Xenopus tropicalis: one gene and its partners. The protein of the gene in region 1 purifies or fractionates together with the protein of each later gene. This does not show direct contact. Links are inferred from orthologs where the notes say so. Each region holds a gene or a part of one and is shown in the gene's direction. Other genes may lie near its edges. The genes, in order: ncbp3, thoc1, alyref, thoc6, thoc5, thoc2 and thoc7.

Evidence for each region.
Region 2: the proteins of ncbp3 (region 1) and thoc1 purify together in Homo sapiens (co-immunoprecipitation; 4 studies listed by BioGRID and IntAct, with this or other methods). This does not show direct contact. The link is inferred for Xenopus tropicalis from reciprocal best matches to the Homo sapiens genes NCBP3 and THOC1.
Region 3: the proteins of ncbp3 (region 1) and alyref purify together in Homo sapiens (affinity purification with mass spectrometry; 4 studies listed by BioGRID and IntAct, with this or other methods). This does not show direct contact. The link is inferred for Xenopus tropicalis from reciprocal best matches to the Homo sapiens genes NCBP3 and ALYREF.
Region 4: the proteins of ncbp3 (region 1) and thoc6 purify together in Homo sapiens (co-immunoprecipitation; 3 studies listed by BioGRID and IntAct, with this or other methods). This does not show direct contact. The link is inferred for Xenopus tropicalis from reciprocal best matches to the Homo sapiens genes NCBP3 and THOC6.
Region 5: the proteins of ncbp3 (region 1) and thoc5 purify together in Homo sapiens (co-immunoprecipitation; 3 studies listed by BioGRID and IntAct, with this or other methods). This does not show direct contact. The link is inferred for Xenopus tropicalis from reciprocal best matches to the Homo sapiens genes NCBP3 and THOC5.
Region 6: the proteins of ncbp3 (region 1) and thoc2 purify together in Homo sapiens (co-immunoprecipitation; 3 studies listed by BioGRID and IntAct, with this or other methods). This does not show direct contact. The link is inferred for Xenopus tropicalis from reciprocal best matches to the Homo sapiens genes NCBP3 and THOC2.
Region 7: the proteins of ncbp3 (region 1) and thoc7 purify together in Homo sapiens (co-immunoprecipitation; 3 studies listed by BioGRID and IntAct, with this or other methods). This does not show direct contact. The link is inferred for Xenopus tropicalis from reciprocal best matches to the Homo sapiens genes NCBP3 and THOC7.

What each region holds. Positions count from the first base shown.
Region 1 is NC_030678.2:48,495,625-48,499,124, forward strand, and holds part of ncbp3 (nuclear cap-binding protein subunit 3), read left to right. Parts: intron 1-1,842; coding exon 1,843-1,968; intron 1,969-3,500. UniProt on the Homo sapiens protein: Associates with NCBP1/CBP80 to form an alternative cap-binding complex (CBC) which plays a key role in mRNA export. NCBP3 serves as adapter protein linking the capped RNAs (m7GpppG-capped RNA) to NCBP1/CBP80.
Region 2 is NC_030682.2:108,266,480-108,269,979, forward strand, and holds part of thoc1 (THO complex subunit 1), read left to right. Parts: intron 1-281; coding exon 282-348; intron 349-1,849; coding exon 1,850-1,968; intron 1,969-3,038; coding exon 3,039-3,087; intron 3,088-3,500. UniProt on the Homo sapiens protein: Component of the THO subcomplex of the TREX complex which is thought to couple mRNA transcription, processing and nuclear export, and which specifically associates with spliced mRNA and not with unspliced pre-mRNA.
Region 3 is NC_030686.2:27,893,665-27,897,696, reverse strand, and holds the start of alyref (THO complex subunit 4), read left to right. Parts: upstream 1-1,232; 5' UTR 1,233-1,237; coding exon 1,238-1,483; intron 1,484-4,032. UniProt on the Homo sapiens protein: Functions as an mRNA export adapter; component of the transcription/export (TREX) complex which is thought to couple mRNA transcription, processing and nuclear export, and specifically associates with spliced mRNA and not with unspliced pre-mRNA.
Region 4 is NC_030685.2:12,483,242-12,486,741, reverse strand, and holds part of thoc6 (THO complex subunit 6 homolog), read left to right. Parts: intron 1-919; coding exon 920-991; intron 992-2,943; coding exon 2,944-3,046; intron 3,047-3,145; coding exon 3,146-3,195; intron 3,196-3,500. UniProt on the Homo sapiens protein: Component of the THO subcomplex of the TREX complex which is thought to couple mRNA transcription, processing and nuclear export, and which specifically associates with spliced mRNA and not with unspliced pre-mRNA.
Region 5 is NC_030677.2:144,818,867-144,823,151, forward strand, and holds the start of thoc5 (THO complex subunit 5 homolog), read left to right. Parts: upstream 1-1,485; 5' UTR 1,486-1,629; intron 1,630-1,960; exon of another isoform or gene 1,961-1,977; intron 1,978-2,100; 5' UTR 2,101-2,103; coding exon of another isoform or gene 2,104-2,121; coding exon 2,122-2,202; intron 2,203-2,318; coding exon 2,319-2,462; intron 2,463-3,788; coding exon 3,789-3,902; intron 3,903-4,285. UniProt on the Homo sapiens protein: Component of the THO subcomplex of the TREX complex which is thought to couple mRNA transcription, processing and nuclear export, and which specifically associates with spliced mRNA and not with unspliced pre-mRNA.
Region 6 is NC_030684.2:48,835,130-48,838,629, reverse strand, and holds part of thoc2 (THO complex subunit 2), read left to right. Parts: coding exon 1-93; intron 94-800; coding exon 801-956; intron 957-1,546; coding exon 1,547-1,719; intron 1,720-3,069; coding exon 3,070-3,265; intron 3,266-3,500. UniProt on the Homo sapiens protein: Component of the THO subcomplex of the TREX complex which is thought to couple mRNA transcription, processing and nuclear export, and which specifically associates with spliced mRNA and not with unspliced pre-mRNA.
Region 7 is NC_030680.2:145,033,231-145,037,504, forward strand, and holds the start of thoc7 (THO complex subunit 7 homolog), read left to right. Parts: upstream 1-1,474; 5' UTR 1,475-1,513; coding exon 1,514-1,532; exon of another isoform or gene 1,533-1,691; intron 1,692-3,351; coding exon 3,352-3,469; intron 3,470-4,274. Other genes in the region: atxn7 (ataxin-7), read right to left, coding at 1,315-1,474. UniProt on the Homo sapiens protein: Component of the THO subcomplex of the TREX complex which is thought to couple mRNA transcription, processing and nuclear export, and which specifically associates with spliced mRNA and not with unspliced pre-mRNA.

The sequences.
Region 1 (3,500 bases):
TATACCGTGCATACATAAGTATTTAAAGGAGAAGGAAAGGCTAATAAAGAGTTCATCTCAAGCTGCAGGCATACCTTCCCTTCTCTCAATAGTGCCCTTAAGTCTCCGCATATTTCTCCCATTCAGATTATCAGAAGCCACACAGGAAGAAAAAACTGAGCTCTGTAGAGAAAGTTCCCATAATGCCTCACTCCTGCACCAAGAGCAAGACCTGTGTACATGCTCAGTTAGACTATGGGGCTGATTTACTTACCCACGAACGGGTCGAATGGAGTCCGATTGCGTTTTTTTCGTAATGATCGGTACTTTGCGATTTTTTCGTATGTTTTGCGATTTTTTCGGATTCTGTACGAATTTTTCGGATCCAATACGATTTTTGCGTAAAAACGCGAGTTTTCCTATCCATTACGAAAGTTGCGTAAAAAAGTTGCGCATTTTGCGTAGCGTTAAAACTTACGTGAAAAGTTGCGCATTTTTCGTAGCGTTAAGTTTTAACGCTACGAAAAATGCGCAACTTTTCGCGTAAGTTTTAACGCTACGCAAAATGCGCAACTTTTTACACAACTTTCGTAATGGATACGAAAAACTCGCGTTTTTACGCAAAAATCGTATTGGATCCGAAAAATTCGTACAGAATCCGAAAAAATCGCAAAACATACGAAAAAGTCGCAAAATGTTCGTTTTCAAGTCGGAACTTTTCCAATTCGGGTCGGATTCGTGGGTTAGTAAATCAGCCCCTATGAGTCAGCTTCCTGCTGATTGGCTCAGATCCACCTTCCTAAGGGGGGGAGTGAGTTCTTAGCATTCTTGAGGGAGGGCGGGAGCAGGAGAGAGCAGAGAGCTGCCTGTCTCTGGCAGAGGAAAACAGACGCAACTAATCTTTTGTAATTTCTTATGGCTGTATTTACATAGACCTTTCTGATAAAGCTTACTTAGTTTTTACCTTTCTTTCTCCTTTAATGTGCAGTACATAAAGTACATAATGGTGCATACCATTATGTATGCACCGCACCAAAAAGCAATTGGTAATAAGCTGATTGATGTGGCCCTCTTTCTGCTCCTTAGATATATTTGTATCAATAGTAAAAGCTCACCCTTGTGTCCTATAAGCTGCCCAATTCATAAGCCATTTGCACCATACTCTACTCAATGAATGATTCTGTGAAAGCTCCATACAAAGAACTCATGCAGTTTATTACAGTGGCTAAAGACAGCTTTTTTGTGTTTTTCAGGGTTTATGGTAGAGCAGGGAATTTGGAATGTATTTCCACTGTTGTGTATGTTTTATGTGTGCAAACGAGAAATCTTACTTGAACATCCAACACTGAATATACATTAAATTAAGGTATTTAAATTCCTTAGTCAGTGAATTCTTTTCCTTTTTGTCTAAGGAATGATTAATGCTAAAAGCTGGGGTTTATGGTCCCCAAACTGACACAAGTTTAACATATTGGATAGGTTTTACCTACCAGCCAGTGAGAGAAATGTATTATATAGTGAAAGTTAGCATTGTTTAGAACTATACATACCTCTCACCAGCGCACCACTTCTGTGATAGACAGGGTCAAAGTCTCCAAAATTTGTTTTCTGTATTTTTTGTTACAGATGTTTAACTTTATGTGGGTGGTGTGCTTCCTAATGCACTTGGTACTGGACATACTGCAACTATGGACTGTTAATTGTTTCACTTTAGACTAAAACAGTGAATAAATTGTTGTATTTCCTTTCCATGTTGAATCCTTTGATTGCACATTTTAGAATGCTGTGTATTTTACTGTACAGATGTGTGCCAGCAATCTATGCAAGCTGTGTTCATGATTTAGTTTTGCATTTTCTCCTTAGGTAACGTTGTGTGGCTGGATGAGGTAACTCCGTCTCGTGCTTTGTTAAACCTAAGCAGTATGCCCACTAATGAAAAAGGCCAAAGAAAAAAAGATGGAGAGCACAGTTCTGCCAGATCCAAAAAGGGTAAATTCTTCTTTTTATCTCGCCATCTGACATAATCATTACTCTCATACCCATAATGGTTTTTAGGATAACTGCATGCACAATACCTCTTTGGAGCTTTTAGTCCCACAAAATGATATCTTGTTTCAGGTTAAAACATTTTAAAGGAGCAGTATGCACCTATAACACCCTTTTGCAACATGAGCAAAATAAACAGAACCTGTGCTGAAAGTACATGTGAAAAAACAATGTAAATGATTATTAATATAAATAAATAAAAGGGAGAAGACACACTGGGCGATTAGTCGCCACGACTGTTAATGAAGCCAGTTTCAGCGAGTACAATGGCCATCACCACGACTAATCGCCCCATGTGTCTTCGCCCTAAAAATACATAGTTTTTAGTTATTTGTGTTGTAAAACAGTAAGAGAACAATGTTTTGCTTCCACACTTACTATCCTACCATTAGTTAACTTACTTATAGATACTGAGCCCTTCTGTCACTATTTTATTGTGGCGGTTTTGTTAGAAGGAGTTCATTTATTCAGTTGTTTATCTGTGCTCTGGTAATCTGTTTATATTTATGGGACCTGTTATCCAGAATGCTTGGGACCTCAGGTTTTCCAGATAAGGGGTCTGTCCATAATTTTGATCTCCATGCTTTAAGTCTGCTAAAAAAAATTGTTGAAAGTTATTAAACTCCGAAGGATTGCTTTGCCTCCAATAAGCAGTAATTATATCTCAGTTGAGATCTAGTACAAGGTACTGTTTTATTATTTCAGAGCAAAAGAAAATATATTTAATATTCTTGAATTATTTGATTAATATGGCATCTATTACGCCTTCCCGTAATTTGAAGCTTTCCGGATAATGGGTTTGAGAATAAAGGATCCCATACCTGTATTAACTTGTAAAATCCAAACATGGAGTAGTTTCAGTTTTTTTATTTCTCTGTGTAGATAAAGAAATAACAAAAAACATTGTTGAACATGTTGAACAAGGGGTCATACTGCCCCATTAATAATTACCTTGGGCTGGTACAGAACCTGTTAGCCTACTTCTTTGGAGATTTAGTTTTCCTTTAAGTAGTTTTTGCTAACGGTGATGTACATTATGTTTTGGGTTTATGTACCAGCCCAAGGCAACCACAGCCCTTTAGCAGGGAAGATCTGTGCCTCCAATCCCCCTATCTTCTTTTCTGCTGATAACCTGCCCATGCTCTGTGCTGCTGTCACTCACCTGAGCTTAGGGACCGACACACAATATGCTGTATATACAGTGTATAATAAATACTATACAAGGCTAATTGGTAATTAGTAATTTTTAGAGTTTATTTAAGGTAAGGGTTAGTTAGTTCACCAGACTTGCTTTTTATGATTTCCTTTCAGTTGAATTTAAAGATTGAGTCCGCAACAACCAAAAAGTTATTTTTTTTAATAAACATCTTTATTATAATCCGTTAAAACAAACCCCATATACAAAGCCTAATGTGTTTCATGCTAATCTATAAATACATGGTATAGAGCACAACCCACCTTTATTAAAACCAATC
Region 2 (3,500 bases), on another chromosome or scaffold:
AAAATCAAAACATTAAACCCAATAGGATTGTTTTGTATCCAATAAGGATAAATTATTTCTTAGTTGGGATCAAATACAAGTTACTGGTTTATTTTTACAGAGAAAAAGGAAATTTAATTTGAAAAATCTGAATTAATTAATTAAAATGGAGTCTAAGAGAGACAGGCTTTCCGTAATTCAGAGCTTTTTGGATAATGCGTTTCTGAATAACAGATCCCATACCTGTATTTAAATTTCATTGTGTTAACAAACTTTGCTTCCCCTTATATTTGTCTCTGCAGATAAACCAAGTATCATGTGAAAACTGTCTAGCTATTATATCACTGGCCATAAATGGGGTTACAGATGGTAAGTATTAAATCAATGACAAATATATCATATTAAGAAGGTATAATTCATAGTGTCCAACCTCCTGTTTAGATTTTGGAATGTCTTACATTTCTGTGTAAAATGTGCCTATGGCAGACTGAGAATGAACAAAAGGAATTGTCCCTGAGAGAATTCAGCGATAGTCTTGCCTTGTTGATAGCTCAGAGCAAATTATTTCTATCTCTTAAATGCACTGAAGAGCCTGCATGTATGGGATTTGCATTATAAGGCAGCTTCTTCCTCAGTAAAATGAACCCAAGTAGAGTAAAAGCATTTGTACCAGGGTGCCAAAGCGGATTTGACTCTCCAGAAATACTACCTGAAATTCTATCTTTTATGTAAGCCTTTTGAAAAAACAAGAAATCAATTTGAAATCAAATTAAATTATCTCCTCCGTTGCCCCTTCCTGGTGCCAGCTTCTCCATACTAAACATTTTAATTCAACCTCATGTTCTATTTATTTATTTCTCTTCACATATCAGTTTTTTACTGTAATAATTTTTATTGCATCACATATATCCACTTTGCCCCTTCCACACTTGTGTTCAGTGGGACCAAAGGAAGTCTGAGTGTACATTTGACCCTCTTGGTTGGTGCTCCTGTTAGGAGAAAACAGTACCAGCCCGGTAGCTGCGAACGAGTGATCTTCTTCCTCCTGTCTTCTTTTTTTTTTTTGCGATCCCGGGGCTGACGTATGAACCGTAGAGTGAAAAATCCAGCTTTTTTGTTTAAGTTCATCTTCGCAGTCTACTGCGCATGCGCAAGCGACATAAAGACAGAAGAGGCTCGCTCTATCCCAGTTACCCTGGACTGGTGTGGGAGATTACAATCATTGGGGGGGGTGCCAAACATTTTGGCACCCCCAGTGACTGTACCTTTCCTCCTTTAAACACCCTCTTCTCTTTACTGCTCACCATCCTCTTTTTATCACATGTCATTTGAATAAAGGGACGATATTTAGTAAGACCAAGCAAGCTGCACTAAACACAATGGTTTACTTACTTGCTGTTATTTATTTTTTTTAAAAAGCGTGAGCTGCCCCTCGTGCTTGCTTTGGGTTTTTCCCATTAAGAATTCTGCAATTGGCTGCAAAATTGATGCCGTTTCTATGGAGACTGCCCAAGTTACTGTTCAAGTTACTGTTTTATTATTACAGAGAAAAGAGAAAAATAATGTTTAAAAATTAGAATTATTTGCTTTGTTATACAGGCAGGGTTGAACTGAGGGGTGAAGGGCCCTGCAGGTGTCCCTTAACCCCCCTCACAGGGTCCCCCACCTGACGTCCTACTCCGAGCACGTAAATTTAACATGGCAGGGAAGGAGCGGTCAGGCAGGGGGAGCACTGCAAGAGTCGGGTCTGGGCCGCCGGGGCCTACCGGGATTTTTCCTGGTGTCCCAACGGCCCAGTCTGACCCTGTATACAGGTGCTTTCTTTTGTTTTGGGGATGTTGCACAGTATTCTAACAATATATGTTTTCAGGTATTTGCACTGCAACGACACCATTTGTGCTCTTGGGAGATGTGCTTGACTGTCTGCCTCTAGCGTACTGCGACAAGATCTTCACTTTTGTTGAGAAAAATGTTGGTACCTGGAAATCTGTAAGTAAAGTTGTGTGTGCCCTTTTGAATGTATAGAGGCACTCCTATGCAAAAGAAGAATGATTCTACCATATTATCATTCTGTTCAACCCTCTCTATTTTTAGTATGTGTTTTACTAATTTACACACATCTGTACGTTCATGTAGTTAGCTACATTGATACCTGGTTACTGGTGCACGTATACTTCTTCTTGGACATAAATCACAGTGTGCAAAAGATTGTGTCAGGGAAAGTGACAGCGTGCATTATGCAATATATTACGTCTGCATCTCTAAAAACAAAAATGCTCATCAAGTAATTTTATTTTTAAGGCTACTACCAACTAATAGGGATTTGTACATTATTATTGTCATAGCCCTTAAAAACCTTTTACATGATGGAGCTGTGACGGGAGGGCACTCTTTGTATGTTTCTTTTTAATTGTTTCTTGTCAATTTAAAGACACAGTGCACCTTTCCAAAACTTATCATTTTCAAATGGTATATTGCAAATATTTTTATAAATCTTGTTTTCTGTTTTTTTACAGTTATTTTTTAATCTAGGTTAAATGCTAGGTTGTGACCTGCCAAATTTGATTTTGTGAGAATAAACTGCCCCGATAACCTTAAAATGATATGCCAATTCTAATTCTGTAAATTGTAAAGATACTTTAATGCTAAAACATTAACCACTATGCCTTTTCCAGGCCTTGTGTTAACTAAAGCCACTAAACAAAAAAACTGCTTATATATTTAACCTGTATCAGCCATATGAAACTTTGTCATGACTATGCTTTTGAATTCTGCACCTATTTTAGTCCTGGTCCCCATGTCATGATCACAGCCCTACTCCAGTTTCACCATTTTGTTACTGTGAATGCATAAATGTCACACTGAACTTGTCTCTACATGTGCAAGTAGAAATGGCCTAGGGAAGAGGGAACACCTATATCTGTCTGCACACAAAGAGTTTTTGTTCTGTGACTTGCTGCATGAAAACTGACCATTAATTCCACCCCCATGTTCTGAATCAAAATTCCAGTATATTTCTTATCACTAAATATCAGACAAAATCATAATTTTTCTTCTAGAATACATTTTACTCAGCGGGGAAAAACTACCTGCTACGGATGTGTAATGGTGAGTGCCCTATTTTCTTGTTTTTTTTTTTTAATAAAAATATTTGATTATTTTTAAGAATGCACCAAATCTAGGATTCAATTTGAGATTTGGCTAAATTCTTGCAATAATATAATTTCTATTTATTAGTTACAGGAGAACTTACAAGTTGCAAATAGAACACTTCTTTAGTAAGCAAACAGCAGGTCAATGCATTTCAATAAAGTTACAGCTTGTACAATAAGCAAAGGTATTACAAGCGTGCATACTAGTGGGATTTATTCCCCTCAATACAAATGGTCAAATTGTATCTCAGTGAGCTCCTTAGTAAATCCTTTCCTGCGTCTTGTAGGATAGCCAATATTGTATTGTACTTAGTGGCATGAGATTTTAATATAGCAGTACAAACACATTTATTCCTGGGCAGTAAGTAA
Region 3 (4,032 bases), on another chromosome or scaffold:
TCTGAAATCACACTGCACTATTTATAACTTAAAGTAACACTGAAACAACATTTTAATAGAGCAGTGCCACACCAGTACACAGGCGCGGGCCAAGCTGTAGGCAACCCGGTCAGCCACCTCGCCCCTGCACCTTTCCCCACCCCCCCTCGTGTGTGCTTTGGCCTGCATACGCAGGCCAGGGGTAGGCAGGAGAGGCTCCTGCCTGGCGCCCCCAAATCGTTGCACCCTAGGCAGCTGCCTCTTCTGCCTACCCCTAGTTTCGGCCCTGCCTGTACATCAGAAACATGGAAGGGCACGAGGCAAAGGGCCATATTTTCTAGATATATGCGTGAGGGCCCATGAGGGCCAGTGATACCCAACCAGTGGTTTGTGAGCAACATGTTTCTTCCCAAACCCTTTGGATGTTGCTCCCAATGGCCTCAAAGCAGCTGCTTATTTTTGAATTCCTGGATTGGAGGCAATCCAAACAGAGCCTCATTTAGGCTGCCAGTCCACATAGGAGTGTGGCCCACAGGTAAGAAAGGTTGGGGACCCCTGCTGAAAGCGCTGGGGGGGGGGGAGCGGGGACCCCTGAAACTTGTAGATTGTAAATAATAATGTACCCCCTACTAAAATGTAAAAGTATTTTAGAATCTACTGAGGTCTATAAGCTTTATAAATGGCTTTGTTCCTTAGAGAGAATGTTCTCTCTGATTCACTGTTCATTCAAAAATGATCTTTTGTGTCCTTTTAAAAACCAAGGAGGTGGATCAGAATACATATAACATATTTTTCACACAAACGTCTGTGATTTCAAATATACTTATAAACCACACAAGGGACTACATTTTTTATACATGTGCATTAAATAATCAGCGTGTTTGGCGTTCCAACATAATTGTGGAACAACGTGAGAAGTATCGTAATTAAACACTTCCATTTCAAGATACAGGGGAGCGATCGGTATAGAGGCGCTTGGAAAAATCTGAAACTGATGCAGCTCATTATAAATAAACTTTATTTTCAGTTTAGGCTTTAGTCTCCCACCTTGAAACAACTCGTGGCAAGAACTGAAAGAGAGGTTACTTTTGTTTGTTAGTTTAAATGTTAGCCTAACCCGGCGGAAGTGACGCAGGGAGTGCCGGATATGCGGGGCGGGGCTATTTAAGCGCGGCTCACACCGGCTGGATAGTAGTATTGTTCCAGGACAGGCCGCATCCGAGCACGCTACACGGTTAACTTGAGAAACATCGCCGCGATGGGGGACAAAATGGACATGTCTCTAGATGATATCATCAAGCTTAATCGGAGCCAAAGACCGGCCGGAAGGGGCCGGGGTGGAGGACGGGGTGCTCGGGGCGGGTCGGCCCGCGGAGGAGCCGGAGGCCGAATTGGTGGAGGCCGCGGAGGAGGAGGAGGAGGAGCGGCGGGAGGCGGAGGGCCTATGCGGTCAAGGCCTGTCCTGACCCGCGGCGGAAGGAACCGGCCCGCACCGTACAGCAGGGTAGGAGAGGCGGGGGCAGGGAGGGCCTGTGGCCTTACAAAGGCGCCGGTGACCGGAGGAGGCAGCCGCCCGGAGAGGTTTCGGTGTGTGCCCGACCGATCAGCTGCTGGAGTGGTGACATCCATGAGGCCCGGACCGAGGAGCTGGGGCCCGGTCTGAGAAGGTTTGCGCAACGGGGGATTATGGGCCTGGGGCCGCCCCCTGTGTCCGGCGCTCCGTGGGGAGGGGATAGCGTATCCCGGAGCAGCTTCTCCCGGGTGTCGGCCTTCTGGTCCGGGCTGGGCGGGTGGGATTGGGCCCCGGGAGCCCGCGCTTCTCTAGTTCCTCGGTAACAGTAATAGAATAACATAAGATTCCCGCACTTCCAACATGGCTGCTACTGCGGGGGGTTGTGAGTATAAGTTAGGGGGCAGCGCTCCTGGCCGAGGCTTATACAGCTCTAAGCGCTAATCTCTCCGTGAATTTCTGTAAATGAATGTTAGTTCCTTAGATTTTCTTGTTGTTAAACATGGAGATATGAGCTTCACTTTTGTTCTGAGGCTGAGCCAAATGTGGGCCCTAATCATACAGTGTAGATAATCCTAGTGCCATTGCCAGGCCTGGGAGTTACAGCTCAGCTTGGAATATCTTTCCCACCTGACATTTTTTATATCTGATAAATGTTTTTTTCCAAATGGGAAACCCAGTTGTCCTACAGCTCATGGAATTGCTGTGCTGCAACAGTGTTTGAGCAACTGCACTAACAGTTAGTGTTAGCCGGGCTTAGGGTGGGGGGTGTTAAATGTTAGTCCCCTAGTGCTTATAATTGCTTACCCGATACCCCAGGCCAGTACCCCTGTTCCCTAAACACTGCACCAGCCTTAGAGAAGGAAAGGTACAACCACTGGGGGGGGGGGATATTGGACATCCCTGCAGTGATTGTAAACGCTTACCTGAAACCTCTGGGGGTGCTCCTGTAAGGAGAAAACTGCACCAACAAGGGGTTAACTGCATATGGGTGAGTGGAAAACCAGCTTTTTTTTAACTTTTGGCTTTTTGCTCCACTGGGCATGCTCAGACAGGAGGACCCCTTTGTCTGCACCCGACTGGTGCAGTCTCACTGAGGGGGGCTAACATTCTGGAATGTTTGTAACTTTCATTTTAAGTGAACAGGTGCACCGGCCCAGGGTATCTGGTAAGCAGTTATAATCACTTTCCTTCTCTATGTATGGAAGCTGCCAGAGCTTTCAGCTGACTACCAGCCACTCTTGGTAGTCTCTATAGAAATTGTGCCCATGGTTCAGTGTTTTGGTGTGTACAGGCGTAAAGCTGGTAACATTTGTTGGGGTTGTGTTGTAAAAGGATATATTTATATATAAGGGATGCACGCTACACAATGAGGTGTTTTCATGTCATGATGCTACATTATACAAATGTCCAAATACATTTTATTTTTTTCCTTAGAAAATTTGAGTCCTTGCATAGATCAGTTAACCATTAAACGGTCATGCCTTCACTATTTCTTTGCTGAACTATGGCTGCAAGTAATACCATATTACCCTGCAAGTAATAGCAATGCAAATGTTTAATCCCTAGATATTACTAAAAAGGATAAAGGGGAAATATTCCCCTTTATTGCGCAGCACAAGTGAAGCTGAAATACTAGTACTTTTACTAGTAGATTAAAGCTACTTTGTTGTTTTTATTTGGAAGTAGATAACAAATTCATTGATAAGTAGATATGTTTTGCAGAGGGGTATTGCTAGTAATCAACTGCCTACTTTACAAGAACCAAATGCAGCTGGGGAACCACTGGGCAAGCATGTCGCATTGTTATTCATTCCTAGTTAGCGCAGTCCATTAAACTATATGCTATGCAGTTATGGGATCCCTTATCCAGAAACCAGTTATCCAAAAAGTTCCAAATTACGGAAAGTCCATCTCTTGCATTATGAGCAAATAGTTCTAATAAAAAAATAATTTTCCTTTGTAATTAAACTTTACCATGTACTTGATCCTAACTAAAATATAATTAATCCTTATCAGAGGCAAAATAAGCCTGTTGGGTTTGTACAATATTTAAATTATATTTAGTAGACTTAAGGTATGAAGATCCAAATTCCAGAAAGATCCCTTATCTGGAAAGCCCCAGGTCCCAAGCGTTCTGGATAACTGGTCTCATGTACTTGTAAAGGTTAGTTACTAAGTAATGCTGCACTTCTCAGGCAGTGAAATATAAGGTAAATGTTGGCATACAAATTTCTGTTTTTGCAGTAAGGACCATTTACCAAACCCTACTTTAGCTTATGTTTAAGAATGCTTACCCAATGGTAGCGTCATGCTTTTTGCAACTTGCAATTTCCAGGAGGTCAGGCACCATATTCCACTACTGTGCATGTTCCAGCTTCTCCTAGCAACTTATTAGCATAGCATTACTGGTATTGACTGGCAATTGACATTATATTGTAACATACCCCCCTGATGTCATTGTAGATGCACGGAAGATTCCCAGCATGCGTTTGTGCTAGATTAAAGGTGGCCATACACAGGCTGATTGTAGCTGCCGTTAT
Region 4 (3,500 bases), on another chromosome or scaffold:
ATTCTCCTCTCTAATAACCTTCCTGCCTCTCCTTACCCGTCTTCACTTATCTTCCTTTCCCAGCAGCCTCCATCCCTCCCTTCTTTACTCCAGAGGTGGGCCTAGCCCCCTGGGTGCCCTAGGCCACCTGGTCGGCCTCCTCACCCCCCCATATGTGCAACACGTGCACACTAAAGAGTGCACACATGAGCGTGTGTGGGGGAGCATTACAGTGGGGCCAAGAGAGTCCTGACTTAAGGTCCCCATACACAGGCCGATTGTAGCTGCCGATATCGGTCCCTTGGACTGATTCGGCAACTTATCGGCCCGTGTAGGGGCATAAACGAGGGGCATGCCTGACTAATATCTGGCCTGAAATCGGCCAAATATCGATCGGCCAGGTGCCCCCGAACCGACTGCCCCATTGCTGCCAATATATGGCCCTGGGGCCAAACGATCTAATTATTATTTTTTTTTTTTACCTACACGCTCCCCGATATCGCCCACCCATCTAGCCAAGCAAGCGAATCTCAACGTGTATGGGGACCTTAAGGGTAGGCAGAAGAAGTACCTGCCTAGCGCCCCCCCATCTCCATCATTTCCCATTAGTTCCGGCCCTGCTTTACTCTAACTCCCCCCACCAGCAAGCTGCAGTTCAACCAGCCCCCACTTACTTACATAAAACCCATTCCTAGTCATTATCTTCTCACCTCTAAATATCACCCTGATGAACTCTGCCCTGCTGCCTGCTCACTAGGGTAACTACCTATAGCCTTACACCACCCACCCATTTTATTGCCCAGTACAACCAGTACCCCAAACCTCTGTTTCTCCCTACATTTACTTCTAAACTCCTCCCCCCTAAACACCTTTATGGAAAGCCCTCATGCCTATTCCTCACTGTTTTGATTTTGTTTCCTTCATTGCTATTTCCTCTCAGGATAACTCCTTGCTCCTTGCTGGGGGGACATGCAACATTCATTCTATGGACTTGGAGAGTGGAACCTTTACGGTAAGTATGGGGGTGTGGCTTAGTATGAGTCTTGTGATTGGTGTCTGTTGCACGTGCTGCAGCCAATGGAAGCCTATGAGCTGAATGTGGCCCACAGGCCCTCCTGGCTCTCTCAGCTCCCTCAGGTCCTCACTGCTATTGTTCATGGATAGAAATGAACCTGAGAAGTCAGATTGGTCATCAGAATAATAAAACCATAAAATCTGCACTGTTGGTAGTTTTGCTTCCTGGACTTGAGGCTTATGTCATACGGGGTGTGGGGCTGACGTCTGTTGTTGTCTAAACACCCACACCCTGCAGCAGGTTCTTCCCATTGCCAAGTACCTTGAACCCATTCTATACACACACCTTAGGGCCAGAGGGCGGCAACTTGGGTGCCTATATATAAATACGTAGTGAAAGGGGGTTGTTCACCTTTAAAATAACTTTTAGTATGATGTACATGGTGATGTTCTAAGACATTTTGCAATTGGTCTTCATTTTTTATTATTTGTTGTTTTTTAAATATTTAGCGTTCTGTTCAGTAGCTCTCCAGTTTGGAAATTCAGCACATTGCTTAGGTCTAAATTACCTTAGCAACCAGGCATTGGTTTGAATGAGGGACTGGAATGTGAACATAGAGGGCCTGAATAGGCAAGGTAATAAAAAGTAACAACGTTTTAGCCTCACAAAACTATCCTGTATGGCTTCCGGGGTCAGTGACCCCCTTTTGAAAGCTGGAAAGAGTCAGAAAACGAAAGGAAATAACTCAGAAACTATACAAAATAAAAAGTGAAGACTAATTGCAAAGGTGCTAAGAATAGGCCATTCTGTAACATACCCCTTAGGATTAGTGACTTTACTAACCGGATGGCACATTTAAGGGATTGTTTAACTTTGGGTTAACTTTAGAGAGTGATATTTTGAGACAATTTGCAATTGGTCTTCATTTTTTATCATTGGTAGTTTTTTCATTATTTTACTTTTTGTTCCGCAGCTCTCCAGTTTGGAATTTCAGCAGTTCTCTGGTTGCTAGGGTCCAATTTACCTTAGTAACCAGGGGGTGGTTTGAGAGAGTGATATATGAATAGTAGAGGGGCTGAATAAAAAGATAAGTAATAAAAAGTAATAATAACAATAAAACTGGAGCCTCACAGAGCAATAGTTTTTGGCTGCCGGGGTCAGTGACCCCCATTTGAAAGCTGGAAAGAGTCAGAAGAGGAAGGCAAATAGTTCAAAACTATACAAAATAAAAAGTGAAGACTAATTGCAAAGGTGCTAAGAATATGCCATTCTGTAACATACCCCTTAGGATTAGTGACTTTACTAACCGGATGGCACATTTACCTTTGGGTTAACGTTAGTATGATGTAGAGAGTGATATTTTGAGACAATTTGCAATTGGTCTTCATTTTTTATTATTTGTAGTTTTTTCATTATTTTACTTTTTGTTCCGCAGCTCCCCAGGTTAGAATTTCAGCAGTTCTCTGGTTGCTAGGGTCCAATTGACCTTAGTAACCAGGTAGTGGTTTGAGAGAGTGACTGATATATGAATAGTAGAGGGGCTGAATAAAAAGATAAGTAATAATAACAATAAAACTGGAGCCTCACAGAGCAAAAGTTTTTTGCCGGGGTCAGTGACCCCCATTTGAAAGCTGAACAGAGGAAGAAGTAGAAGGCAAATAATTCAAAAACTATAAAAGATAAAAAAAATGAAGACCAATTGGAAAGTTGCTTAGAACATATTGGTAAACCACCCCTTTAAATTTAATGTTGAAGAAGTTTTTTTTTTGGTTGCTAGGGGCAGTGACCCTGACAACCAAATAGCTTTTTTTAATTGCATGCCATCAAGAGACAGAATAGGAAGGCTATTCATTTAAAAACCATATTAGGTCCATGAAAAAGTTCCTTTTCTAATCGGCAAAGTTTCTGTAAAGGCAAAGTTCCCCTTTAACCGTCTCATTGGTCTGTAGATGGCGCTGGAAGGACACGAGGATTATATTCACTGCTTGGCCCTGCGTGAGCAGCAGAGGGAGTGCGTGTCCGGCGGCGAAGATGGAACTGTCAGGATATGGGGTGAGAGTGTGAATGGAGTATCATAGTATTTATTGATATTGTCTAAATCATCCTCTTCCTCCTCCTTCTCCTCCTCCTCATCATCATCTCTTCTTGCAGATCTTCGAAATGGGGCTCAGACTCACAAGATTGAAGTCTATAAATATGAGGTAACACTGAGAAATATGAGGTTCCCACTGCACTATCCCTATAAAGACGATTTGGGTGGAATTAAAGGGCAAGTCAACCCAAAATTCCTTATAAAAGAAAACAAAATTCTAAGCAACTTTGCAGTATACATTCATTATACATATGTAGTGGTTTTCTGTTATTTGTATATATGTAATTTCTATTAGAAGCAGTGTGTGTCTGGCCTTTTCGATTCCCCGGCATATGAAACAATGTTACACGAGGCAGCAGCCTGACAGACCTGTCTTTCTGGAGGAGCCAGACCTTTGCAACATTGTTTAAAAAG
Region 5 (4,285 bases), on another chromosome or scaffold:
GGTCACTTTTCTATACTAATCCTCCTAGATTTATCGGCTGCGTTTGATACGGTTGACCACTCCCTCCTGATGCAGATTCTGCATTCGATTGGTCTCCGTAGTCAGGCCGCATCCTGGATCTCCTCTTACCTCTCTAACCGTTCATTCACTGTCTCCTATGCTAACACCTCATCTCCAGTTCCTCTTAATGTGGGGGTACCCCAAGGCTCTGTACTTGGGCCGTTGTTGTTCTCCCTTTACACGCTGTCTTTGGGAGATCCTATCCGTTCATTTGGTTTTAAATATCATCTGTATGCTGATGATACCCAAATTTACTTTTCGACCCCTTCGTTAACAGTCGAAACTGAGACTCAAATCTCTAACTGCCTCCTGGCTATCTCTAATTGGATGAACCAACACCACCTCAAACTGAACCTAACAAAAACTGAACTAATGATCTTTCCGCCTAAGCCTGGTCCTACCCCCCTCTTTTCTATCTCTATTGATGGCACCCTCATCAACCCTGTCGATTCGGCACGTTGTTTGGGGGTGATCTTTGACTCCTGTCTCTCCTTCTCTGACCATATTAACACCACTGTCAAAACCTGTCACTTTTTCCTGCGCAATATTGCCAAAATCCGTCCCTTTCTCTCTACTGCAACATCTAGGCTGCTCATGCATGCTCTCATCCTATCCCGACTTGACTCTTGTAACCTGCTACTAATCGGCCTCCCTAACTCCCATCTTTCCCCCCTACAGTCTATATTAAACACTGCTGCCAGAATTCTCATCCAGGAGAGTTCAGGCCCTTACCTGCTAAAGTCCTTATCGTGGCATAATTCACAATGTACTAAGGGGGCCCCGCAGTTGGTAAGGCCGGCCCTGCTTGGGATAATGAACCTGTGAAGTGACCCTACCTGCACCCAGGGATTCCATCATATCCCCGTACTTACACTACTTAGCATTTAATAGGGCTGCTTGCAGTCCCAGACCTATAGATGTGCCGTATTTTAAGCACCTGCTTTGTTCTTTCTGGAAAAAGGGTGGGGGAGAGCTAGGAACAAGCACTGTCCTTGTGCTTAGCTGAGGTACAGGCTGTCTGATCAATCATTCGTCACAGAACGCTCCATTCACAGGCGCAAGAGCATCAGGAAGATACGAAAAGCTACGCTGCATAACGCAGGTTCACTTGTGTATCCAATAATAATGGAATAAACACACACAAACTTAAATGAGTACAGTTTTATTGGTCTTAGTTTGCACAAAACCTCCTTCCGTGTTGGTTAAATTTGGAGAATAGGCTTCGTTAGCAATAACGGAAATACTTTATTTTAGTTCCCTGGCGCAGAGCTGTACATTTAAACAAAAATAAATGACTGCTAAGGAAATCGGAAGCGGAGGTAGCAGGTGCCACAGTGGAATGCAAAGTCCTTGTCCGATTTATCATTCGCTTCCGACTGTGTAACGTCCGCTTACGCCGGCTCGTCACTCACACAGGCGGCTACGTGATGCGTCATGTATCGTTGTGACGCAAGTCTCGCGAGATGATTCTTACGGTGTGGGGATAGTAGGGGAAGGAGCTTACACTCATTTAAGCGACTGCCTTTCTTTTTGAAGTCGGAGCTGAGAAAAGGGGACCAAATAATCCAAGTAAGTGCAGCGCAGCCAGGCCCCCCTGAACACCCAAAACCCATCGGCCCTGGACGGCTGCCCCCCGCCAATGTTGGCCCTGCAGGGGGTGGGGGGTAAAATACTTCTAAATTTACCATTAACGTTAACTTGCCATAGTCAACCACATTTAGACAATATTGTAGAAATATTATGAATTTGCTACTGGATTCTCAATTCATACTTGGCAGTGGACATCTGTTAAGTTTCATTGTGCCATTTATTAGACCTCTCCAGCTTGCAGTTATTCATTCTTGTTTTTGTGGTTTTGTTTTTTTCTATTTTGCAATTTCACACTTTGCTGGGTTGCAGGAAATTGCAGGCAAACAGGTACTAGGGTCCTACTGGATAGATTTCTTTATTATATATTATCTGACTTTTAATTCTATGAATTATTTATTTACTAGTATAGTGATTATGTACAGTTGAACAAAAAATATTTGTGTCTTATAGTATATGCCAAACCAGATAGAAATGTCTTCAGATTCTTTAAAGAAAAGAAAGCCCAAAGTAAATCGAAATGAGGATGGCAAGAGAGGTCGCCACGACGAGCAGGTAACCTACTGTGTGTTTAATGCACTGATGTTCAGTCTACTGTGTTCATATATTTTTGTTATGGTGTAGAACTTTATTCTGATATTTACACTTTTTATTGCTTTCTGATATGGCAGGAGGGTCGATATTACAGTGAAGAGGCTGAAGTAGATGTACGAGATCCAAGAGAAGACTATCAACTATACAAAGACACTTGTCTTGATTTGCAGAGATTGATGTCTGAAATCCAAGATTTAAAGAACAAAGGAGGCAAAGACAGTGTGAGTGTGCTAAAAAAGGCCACTATACTCTCATATGCTGCTGAGTATTAAAGAGGATTATCATGTAGACAGTACAGGAAAATGAAAGCAGTGTTTTTATGTACTGAATGTACTGTACGAGTCTAGAGGCTTACAAATCCCTGTATGATTAACAATCTATGACTTCAATGTTGTCCATAACAACTCCCTGTCTTGCATGTTTTTATGCCATTGGTTGAGTGCCATTAGTACTATGCATGCTCAGTGGGGCTGGAGTTTAGCTCTGACAGAAGCATTTACTATCATTATACAGTAATGCTTTCTGCTTGTTGGAGCTGGTCACCCCCCAAACACATTACACAATACAGCCTTGCCCTGATGAGATTATGAGAGAAAGGTGATTTACAAAATGTGCATCCAAGTGATAACTAATTTTGCAGCAGGAATCCAATGCCATTCCTTTGAGGTATTAGTGGAATTTATTAGAAATATGGTTGTTTGATTTAATGAAACAGTTTTTTTGTCTTTTTATCCTGAAGGCTAGTTATTTGCAAACTATGTTTGATTGCTGTTATAGAAAGTCCAAGCAACGCTCTGAAAGTGGCTTTAATTGGCTTCTTACAAGGCAGCTGACTCTGCTCTGATTTAAGTATTGTATAAATTAACTTGTTGGTAAATCTATTCTACTGACTCTTCTTGGTGATTCTGTCATTAGTCTCACTGAGAGAGGCTTTATTGGTCATGTGTGGTGTTCTGGGTTGACCAGTCAGGTCTCTTTGTTTAGGGCCAGGTTTGGGCTAGAGGCTATTTTATTATAGCAGCTGATTTCCAAATATGCCATTTGATGCATAGCTTTCATTTGATTACCTTTTGAACCACCAATTATTCAAGCTAGGAGCTTCAGTAGCCAGGGTTTTAAAGAAGAAGGAAAGGTAAAAACTAAGTAAGTTTTATCAGAAAGGTCCATGTAAATACAGTCATAAGCACTCGCAGAAACGCTGCACTGATTTTTCGATCAAAAGAAACAGGATTTTTTGTCACCTGTGCCAGAGAAACGCAGCTCTCTCCTCTCTTGCTTCCCCCTCCCTCAAGAATGCTAAGAACTCCCCCCCCCCCCCCCCCCCCCTTAGGAATGTGGATCTGAGCCAATCAGCTTCCTCATAGTCTTACAAACTGAGCATGTACACCTGTCTTGGTGCAGGAGCGAGGCATTATGGGAACTTTCTTTACAAAGCTCAGTGATTTTTTTTTTTCCTACATTATATATGTCCTTTAGCAGTGGGACACAGAGCTTTATAAATTGTTCTAGTTGCATGATATATTTAAAGTGGCCACTTCCTTCCTCAGGCTATGGAGATAGAAGAAAAAAAGGTCCAAAGCTGTGTTCACTTCATGACTCTGAAGAAGCTCAATCGCTTGGCCCACATTCGACTTAAGAAAGCTCGAGACCAAACTCATGAGGTAGGTCTGTCCCTTACTTTCTAATATACTCTGCAAAGGAAGAATAGAGTTTTACTTTTCTATATATGTTCTATAAATTATAGGGTCTTAGGTTATTTTGTTTGTGTTTATTATTTGTGAGGAAGATAATTCTGCCCATCAAAGGCAATATTAGACACCATGCATAGGCTGTAGTGAAACTGAGCCTGATAAATAGTTGAATGCTTGCTTTGGCTTTTTAATTTAACAGGTTTCTGACTTTGCAGTTAAACTTGTTTTATTCATCTAGTTTCAATTGTGTCAGCATCAAGGCAGTGTGCAGAGTTTTCTTTGCTTAAGAAATCATGAAATTTCATGAAATTCGAATTCGTGGTTTTAGCTGCAAAAAAAAAGTCAAATTTGAA
Region 6 (3,500 bases), on another chromosome or scaffold:
GAACCCAGTGGAGAAACCCCTTCTTCTTTGTACAGAGTAGCAGCTGTGCTTTTGCAAAACAATCTCATTGAACTGGAGGATCTTTATGTGCATGTAAGTTTAATGTGGCGCCTTTTTTTTTTTTAATTTATAAACAAATTTATAGCTGCCACTTTTAAATCCCTGTGTAGTAGGCTATAATAAAGCAAGCCAACTGCAGGTCCAAACCCAACTTTGCAAGTTTTCATTCCAGCAATAGTCTACTTGAATGAAACATTTACAATGCAAAGGGTATATTCATTGGATTGAGGTATCATAAGTTCATGGAAATTTACCTAAGGATCTTTAAGAATAGTGTTATCCCACTTTGATAACGCTAGCAGTGATCCCCAACCAGTGGCTCGTAGGACCATGTTGCTCACCAACCCCTTGGATGCTGCTCTCGGTGCCCCCAAACCAAGTAGTTATTTTTGAATTCTTGACTTGTTGGCATTAAGGTTGAATAAAAACAAGATTTACTACCAAATAAAGCCTCCTGTAAGCTGATAGTGTGCATAGAGGCTGCCTAATAGCCAATCTTAGTCCTTATATTAAACCTCCATGAAAGTTTATGATGCTTGTGTTGCTCTTCAAGCATTTTTACATTTGACTGTGGCTCATGAGTGAGTAAGGTTGGGACCCCTGACATTAGAATGATTATATAAAAGAAGTCTGTGAAGTCACTGTTCAATAAAAACGAATTAAGAAGCTACATCCAACCCATGACTCTACAGGTAGACTGTTAAATACAGTTGGTAAATAACTGCACTGTGTTGTTTCAGCTTCTTCCAGCAGAGAGTACCATTATTGAGGAACACAAGAGGGAAGTGATAGAGGCCAAGCAGATTGTCAGGAAGCTTACCATGGTGGTCTTGACCTCTGATAAAACTGAAGAAAAAGATAAGGAAAAAGAAAAGGATGAAGAGAAGACAGAAAAGGTATCTTCTTTGACCACCGTTTGTTAAAATTAAGTTTTGCTTTAAATGATAATCTTAGCATCTCTTCAGTAACATTATTGGTTTGATTTAGTTTTTTATTTTGCCATTCTCAATCTAAGGATATTACATTGTTATTACCCCACCCCCATAAGGGTAAATGTAAATATGTTTTGAAGTTGAATAATAATTTTTGGACCTACTCTGTCTCATGTAATGTGTAGATGCTCATGGTGTGGCTGCTGCAAATAGGTGATACATAGAGCCTTCAATTCTTCTCTTCCTTAAAAAAAATAAGCAGCCATTCTGAAAGGAACTTAGTTCAGTTCTTTAGTTCAAACAAGCTTTTCCACTTTTTTGGGCCACTGAAGAACATTAATCCATTAAGACATAGGTTTGAGTATTGCACAATATAAGCACTAGCTTTCCAACCTCCATGGTCGAACACCAAAAATTGTATATGCCTAGCTAAGTACCTGTAAATAGAATCTGATCAAAGAGGTGTGTGTGTTAAATGGTGGCAGGCCTGACTGTGCTTTAGAAGAATTTATGGCAGTATACACTGTTGTTTACTGAGGCTTCTTTGTTCTCAGCCTCCTGACAACCAGAAGCTGGGCTTGCTGGAATCACTGCTAAGGATTGGTGACTGGCAACATGCGCAAAGTATTATGGACCAGATGCCTCCATATTATGCTGCTTCACACAAACCAATTGCCGTGGCTCTGTGTGATCTTATTCATAAAACTATTGACCCACTTTACCGAAGGTAAGTCCAGATTGTCCTTATGCTAGGTTAGCATTCTTACAAAATTTTTTTTTTTTTTTTTAAACAATTCTTATTTAAAGGGCCTAACTTTTAATGCTAAATTGGGCTTAGGGAAAAATTATACTGGCATAGATTTAGGTTACCTCTCACCGTGCCTTGTATTAAAAGTTCCTTATTTGGCCATTATTGGCAGACCATGCCTGCAATGGTTATTTTGTTGGCCAGGGGCTACAGACCCAGTGCACCTTTTTCCTCAGCAAGTTGCGTGTAAAACGAATTTCATTTAAGTTACTTTCATCAAAATGTGCTCTGTGCCGCTCAGTTTTTCCTGCCTTACCATTCCGATTTGGGAGTTGCTGTGTCTGTTGACATAGGGAGCCCTGGAACTACTGCAACCCCCTGACCAAGTGGTCACTAGGGTTCCCTTTGTGCCATGTGTGAATAGGTGCAGCACACTTGTGCCTAAAGAATCAGACACAGACGTCACTAGCACCCGAAACACCAGAAATTACACCAGGCAGACTTCTAAAATAGCGCAACTGAATTTTGGCAAATCTGACACAATTGTGCCAGGTGTGATGCCCCCCTTGGTGCTGCAATGACTATTGCATTCTGGGGAAAAACATAATGACAGTAATTGATTTTTACTCACTCCATCTGCGAATGTATATTAGTCCTCATGTCTTCTTGGGATTATAAACACAATAAGGAAGTGATATAAAATTTGGGGCCAGGCTATGAGTGAGCCATTGGTTTAAACAAGAATATAACTGCTGAGAAAATAGTAAATGTGAGTCCTTAATATATCCAATAGGAAAATACAAAATAAGGGTGTAATGTGTCTCTGATGGAAGAATATAGAGGGAAAATAGTCACAGCTGGGGAGTGACTTTTGCTTTAGGCGTAGTATATGACATATTTTATCTTATTAAATTGGTGTGGGTGTACTGAGCCATCATGGTTAGGAGACTTCAGGTTGCCCAAAGGACTGCAGTGTTAGACATTTAGCGCACTGGAGACTATAATACTAAAACAAAAGAGAGTTGAGTGATAGTTTTTTTAATTTGCACTTAGATGCAAATGACATCTAATTGTTAGATGCAAGTTTAAAGTATGCTCTGACTACACGTAAGCAACTTGTATTTGGCAGTCGGAGTTGAAATACTTGCAAGCACGTACAAAAATCTCTAATTTCACTGGATGTGTATTGTATTCACGCATTTGCTATTAGCTGGTTTTTTTTTTTCATTTCTCTGCAGGGGCTCTAGACTTTTATTACATTCCCCCTTAATGTTTAATTTCTGTGAAATATCTATTGGACTGTTTTTGTATCTCTATTTGGTTTCATAGGTCGGGGGTACCCAAGGGTGCCAAAGGATCTCGTATTGTTCCTTTACATAGCAAGAAAGCCCCAAAACCAGCGGAAACATTTGAAGATTTGAGGAGGGATGCTTTCACTATGCTTTGTTACCTGGGCCCACATCTTTCTCATGACCCTATTTTGCTGGCTAAAATAGTTAGACTTGGAAAAGCATTAATGAAAGAGGTATGTTTGATGCATTTATTTGTATGGAAAATACTATACTTGTTCTTAGCCCAGTGGTTTGTTGTCTCACTGCTGTCTTCGCTGAGAACAGGTGCAAAATGAAGTCATCACTTGTTCTATCATGGAAGCTAAAATTCTGATTTCTTCTGGTAGAGAAGTGAAATATTGTTACCAGATGGTTGCAGAGAACCTATTGGCATTGCTACTACCTGTAATAAGGTTCCCAAGATAGATT
Region 7 (4,274 bases), on another chromosome or scaffold:
GTACTAGTGCTAGTCTAAGTAATGGGGAGTACTAGTGCTAGTGTAAGTAATGGGGAGTACTAGTGCTTGTGTAAGTAATGGGGAGTACTAGTGCTAGTCTAAGTAATGGGGAGTACTAGTGCTAGTGTAAGTAATGGGGAGTACTAGTGCTAGTCTAAGTAATGGGGAGTACTAGTGCTAGTGTAAGTATTGGGGAGTACTAGTGCTAGTGTAAGTAATGGGGAGTACTAGTGCTAGTGTAAGTAATGGGGAGTACTAGTGCTAGTGTAAGTAATGGGGAGTACTAGTGCTAGTGTAAGTAATGGGGAGTACTAGTGCTAGTGTAAGTAATGGGGAGTACTAGTGCTAGTGTAAGTAATGGGGAGTACTAGTGCTAGTGTAAGTAATGGGGAGTACTAGTGCTAGTGTAAGTAATGGGGAGTACTAGTGCTAGTGTAAGTAATGGGGAGTACTAGTGCTAGTCTAAGTAATGGGGAGTACTAGTGCTAGTGTAAGTAATGGGGAGTACTAGTGCTAGTGTAAGTAATGGGGAGTACTAGTGCTAGTCTAAGTAATGGGGAGTACTAGTGCTAGTGTAAGTAATGGGGAGTACTAGTGCTAGTGTAAGTAATGGGGAGTACTAGTGCTAGTGTAAGTAATGGGGAGTACTAGTGCTAGTCTAAGTAATGGGGAGTACTAGTGCTAGTGTAAGTAATGGGGAGTACTAGTGCTAGTCTAAGTAATGGGGAGTACTAGTGCTAGTGTAAGTAATGGGGAGTACTAGTGCTAGTGTAAGTAATGGGGAGTACTAGTGCTAGTGTAAGTAATGGGGAGTACTAGTGCTAGTCTAAGTAATGGGGAGTACTAGTGCTAGTGTAAGTAATGGGGAGTACTAGTGCTAGTGTAAGTAATGGGGAGTACTAGTGCTAGTCTAAGTAATGGGGAGTACTAGTGCTAGTGTAAGTAATGGGGAGTACTAGTGCTAGTGTAAGTAATGGGGAGTACTAGTGCTAGTGTAAGTAATGGGGAGTACTAGTGCTAGTGTAAGTAATGGGGAGTACTAGTGCTAGTGTAAGTAATGGGGAGTACTAGTGCTAGTGTAAGTAATGGGGAGTACTAGTGCTAGTGTAAGTAATGGGGAGTACTAGTGCTAGTGTAAGTAATGGGGAGTACTAGAGCTAGTAATGGAGTGCCAGTACTGGTATAATGGCAGCAGGTCCCAGGGCAGCACGGATTGCAGTGCAGTTATGTAGAAATATAAATACTCGGGGCAATAATCATGTCAGGAATGAGGAAAGGGAATGGGGCTGTGACTCCCAGCTGAGTGGCACTTACCTGCGGGGCCCGGGGAGGCCTGCCTGGGGCTGTGTGTCCGGCTGTGGGCAGGAGGCGCTGGGCCGCCCGACACTGGGGGGAGCTTATAGGGAAGGCGAGGCGGTGACCGAGGCCTCCATGCTCCTGCCTGTCTCTCCGGCTGCTGCCGCCGCTGCTGCATTCTGGGAGTCTGACCTCACTGCTACTCGCCGCCACCGCCATGGGAGCCGTCACCGACGGTAAGTACAGCGCCCTCCTACCCCACCGCCTACACCCTCCGGCTCGGCCTCAGCTCTGCCTGCCCGGGTACCGACCGCGGGAAACCCACACCGGCCGGCTAGGCCGCAAAGCCCCGGGCTCGAGTTAGGGCTCTGGGGGAAGGAGAGCGGTACGGACTTCCGGCCCTACTCCCCGCTCAGCGTATCTTATATGGATAATATTATATATATATTTATGTAGTGCTACTTAGTCTCATATGGATAGTATATATATCGCTGCTGTATCTATCCTAGGGACAATATATATTTATACCGCCACTGTTATTCTGTATGAATGGATGTACTCTGTCTCTATCTTATGGGTATGATATATATATATAGTAATCTAATCAGATAATCTGTCTATATCCTAATGTACATGTACCGCTGTGTATATATCCTATGGATACTTTTATGTATACAGAGATTTCACCTACTCACTTTTTCACTGTTACTGGTGACTTAATGGGTCTCATTGACTGTTAGCTACACACACAGGGCACTCAAGTAGGGTTTTTATAAAGTTGCCTGGCATAAATTGTAGACAGACTGCTATATATTTTATATTATTTTGTATCAATAAACCAGTCACCATTGCCCAAGGTGCTAGGGACAATTTACAGCCACTATTATTTTGTATGAATTATATTTATGTACCTTTACTCTGTCTCTATCTTATAAATATGATAAATGTAGTAATCTAATCAGATAAGCTGTCTATATCACAATATAATATACATGTGCTGCTGTCAATAAATCCTATGGATACTTTAATGTATGTATACAGAGATTTCACCTACTCACTTTTCACTGTTACTGGTGACTTAAAATGGGGGTCTCATTTGCTGGCAGCTACACACAGGGCACTCAGGTGGGATTATTTTCTATTGTTGCCTTGCATAAATTGCAGATAGACTGCTATATATTGGCACAGGATATATGATATGACCATGTATCATTTTGTATCAAAAACCAGTGACCATTGCCCAAGGTAGTTTGTTTGGCCAGATAATCATAATAATATGTGAATCTGTGTATTTCTATATAATGATCAGCACCCTCACAAGTCTTTTTAATTTCATTTAGAGCTCATGTTATGATCAGTTTAGTCAGCCTTTCAGCCATGGTTTATAGCCCTCAAGATTCTGAAATTTTATGTCAGACTGAACACCACACAGTTCTTTTTATAAGATGTCAGTCTTATAAGGGAGATCAGTGATACTGTCAGGCATTTTTAAGACCACGTTCCACTTTACAAGAAATGGTAATATGGAATATTGTTTTTCCAGGCCACTCATGGGAAATATCATTATCTCCCTGATAGTATGGGGTTAAGTCTATTAAATATACCTGTTGGGTACCCTGCACCCTCTTGGTCTGCTATCTCTGTTGTTAGGTTTACCTTTGCCTCCTTAACTAAATGGTGATCAGCTTTCCATCTGCAAGAGTCCTCCATTAGATTTCACAGGCTGGCCAAACCACATATCCACACTTATTCATGAAATTTAGATATGTTTGATTTTTGCAGATGCAATGTTTCTAAGCAAAATTACTTTGACAATTCCTTTGAATTAAGTCCAGGTAACTTGGTACTTGGCACCAGTATGGCGCACATATACTGCCACCTGGGATGTCTCTCTCTGTGGATCTAGAATTCTTGGAGATGCTAGGCAGGGTATCCAAATCTATCCTGTTCTGTTACTGTATAACTGCTTGATGGTAACCTTCTCTTACACAGTGACCTGTCTTTGTGCAGCAGCAATAAAATCCACTATTTCCATTTCCTTCTGTTCTTTTCCAGATGAAGTTATCCGCAAAAGACTTTTGATTGATGGAGATGGTGCCGGAGACGACCGAAGAATTAACTTATTGGTAAAGAGTTTTCTGAAATGGTGCAACTCGGGTTCCCAAGAAGAAGGGTAAGAGGCACCAAGTGACTGTGGCAGTAGTTCCACAATGTTATTTTTATTAGCAGAACTGAAGCTTCAACCAGTTTCTAATCATGTCTGGGAAAAGTATGATTCCAAAATTATTGCTTGGTAAAATTCTTTGTGGAGATTTCATAATTATGGAAAATTCATTTTCCCTCTGGAAGAGAAAGCAGCAGAAAATATGTATAAATGTAAGGCCATCATTGCTGAGTAATCTGTGCTGAAACAGTCCAACAGGAAGGGCAGAATCCAGGTTACTCTGAAAGGAGATTTTGAACCCCATGCTTACCAAAGATTGCTATTGGTTTTTTTTAATTTTACTTCAGTGTCAACTGGGTTGCAAATGTGTTTATAAGATAACTGCTAAGTTGGAAACCAGATGTATATATGAAACTGAATGTTTATGGGACCACTAAAGCCATACTAAAACTCTACTGAAAGGTATGATAAGTGGAAAGGCTGCTGTCACTTTGCCACTTCCCAGCGCAATGAGGTAGCTCAGTGGATTGCAGATGGGTTGCCAAGTTTAACTAATTACATCTCTTGGTGACAAGGAAGGACGAAAACAGTTCTAATGTCCCCTAGGAAAGCACTAAAGTGAGTCTTGCTGGGCAGCCAGAAAAGGGTAGGGTTGTATTTGTCTTTTTTTGCTTCAGGTAAACATAAAGGTCTGGACTATTCAACTGAAAGCCCGTGGGTTAAATATGACCTGCTACATGGTCAAGAGCTCCATAGGCCACATCTGATGGCATCATTGTGAAATGAGATTGTATGCTATGGGCCAGTTAACAGC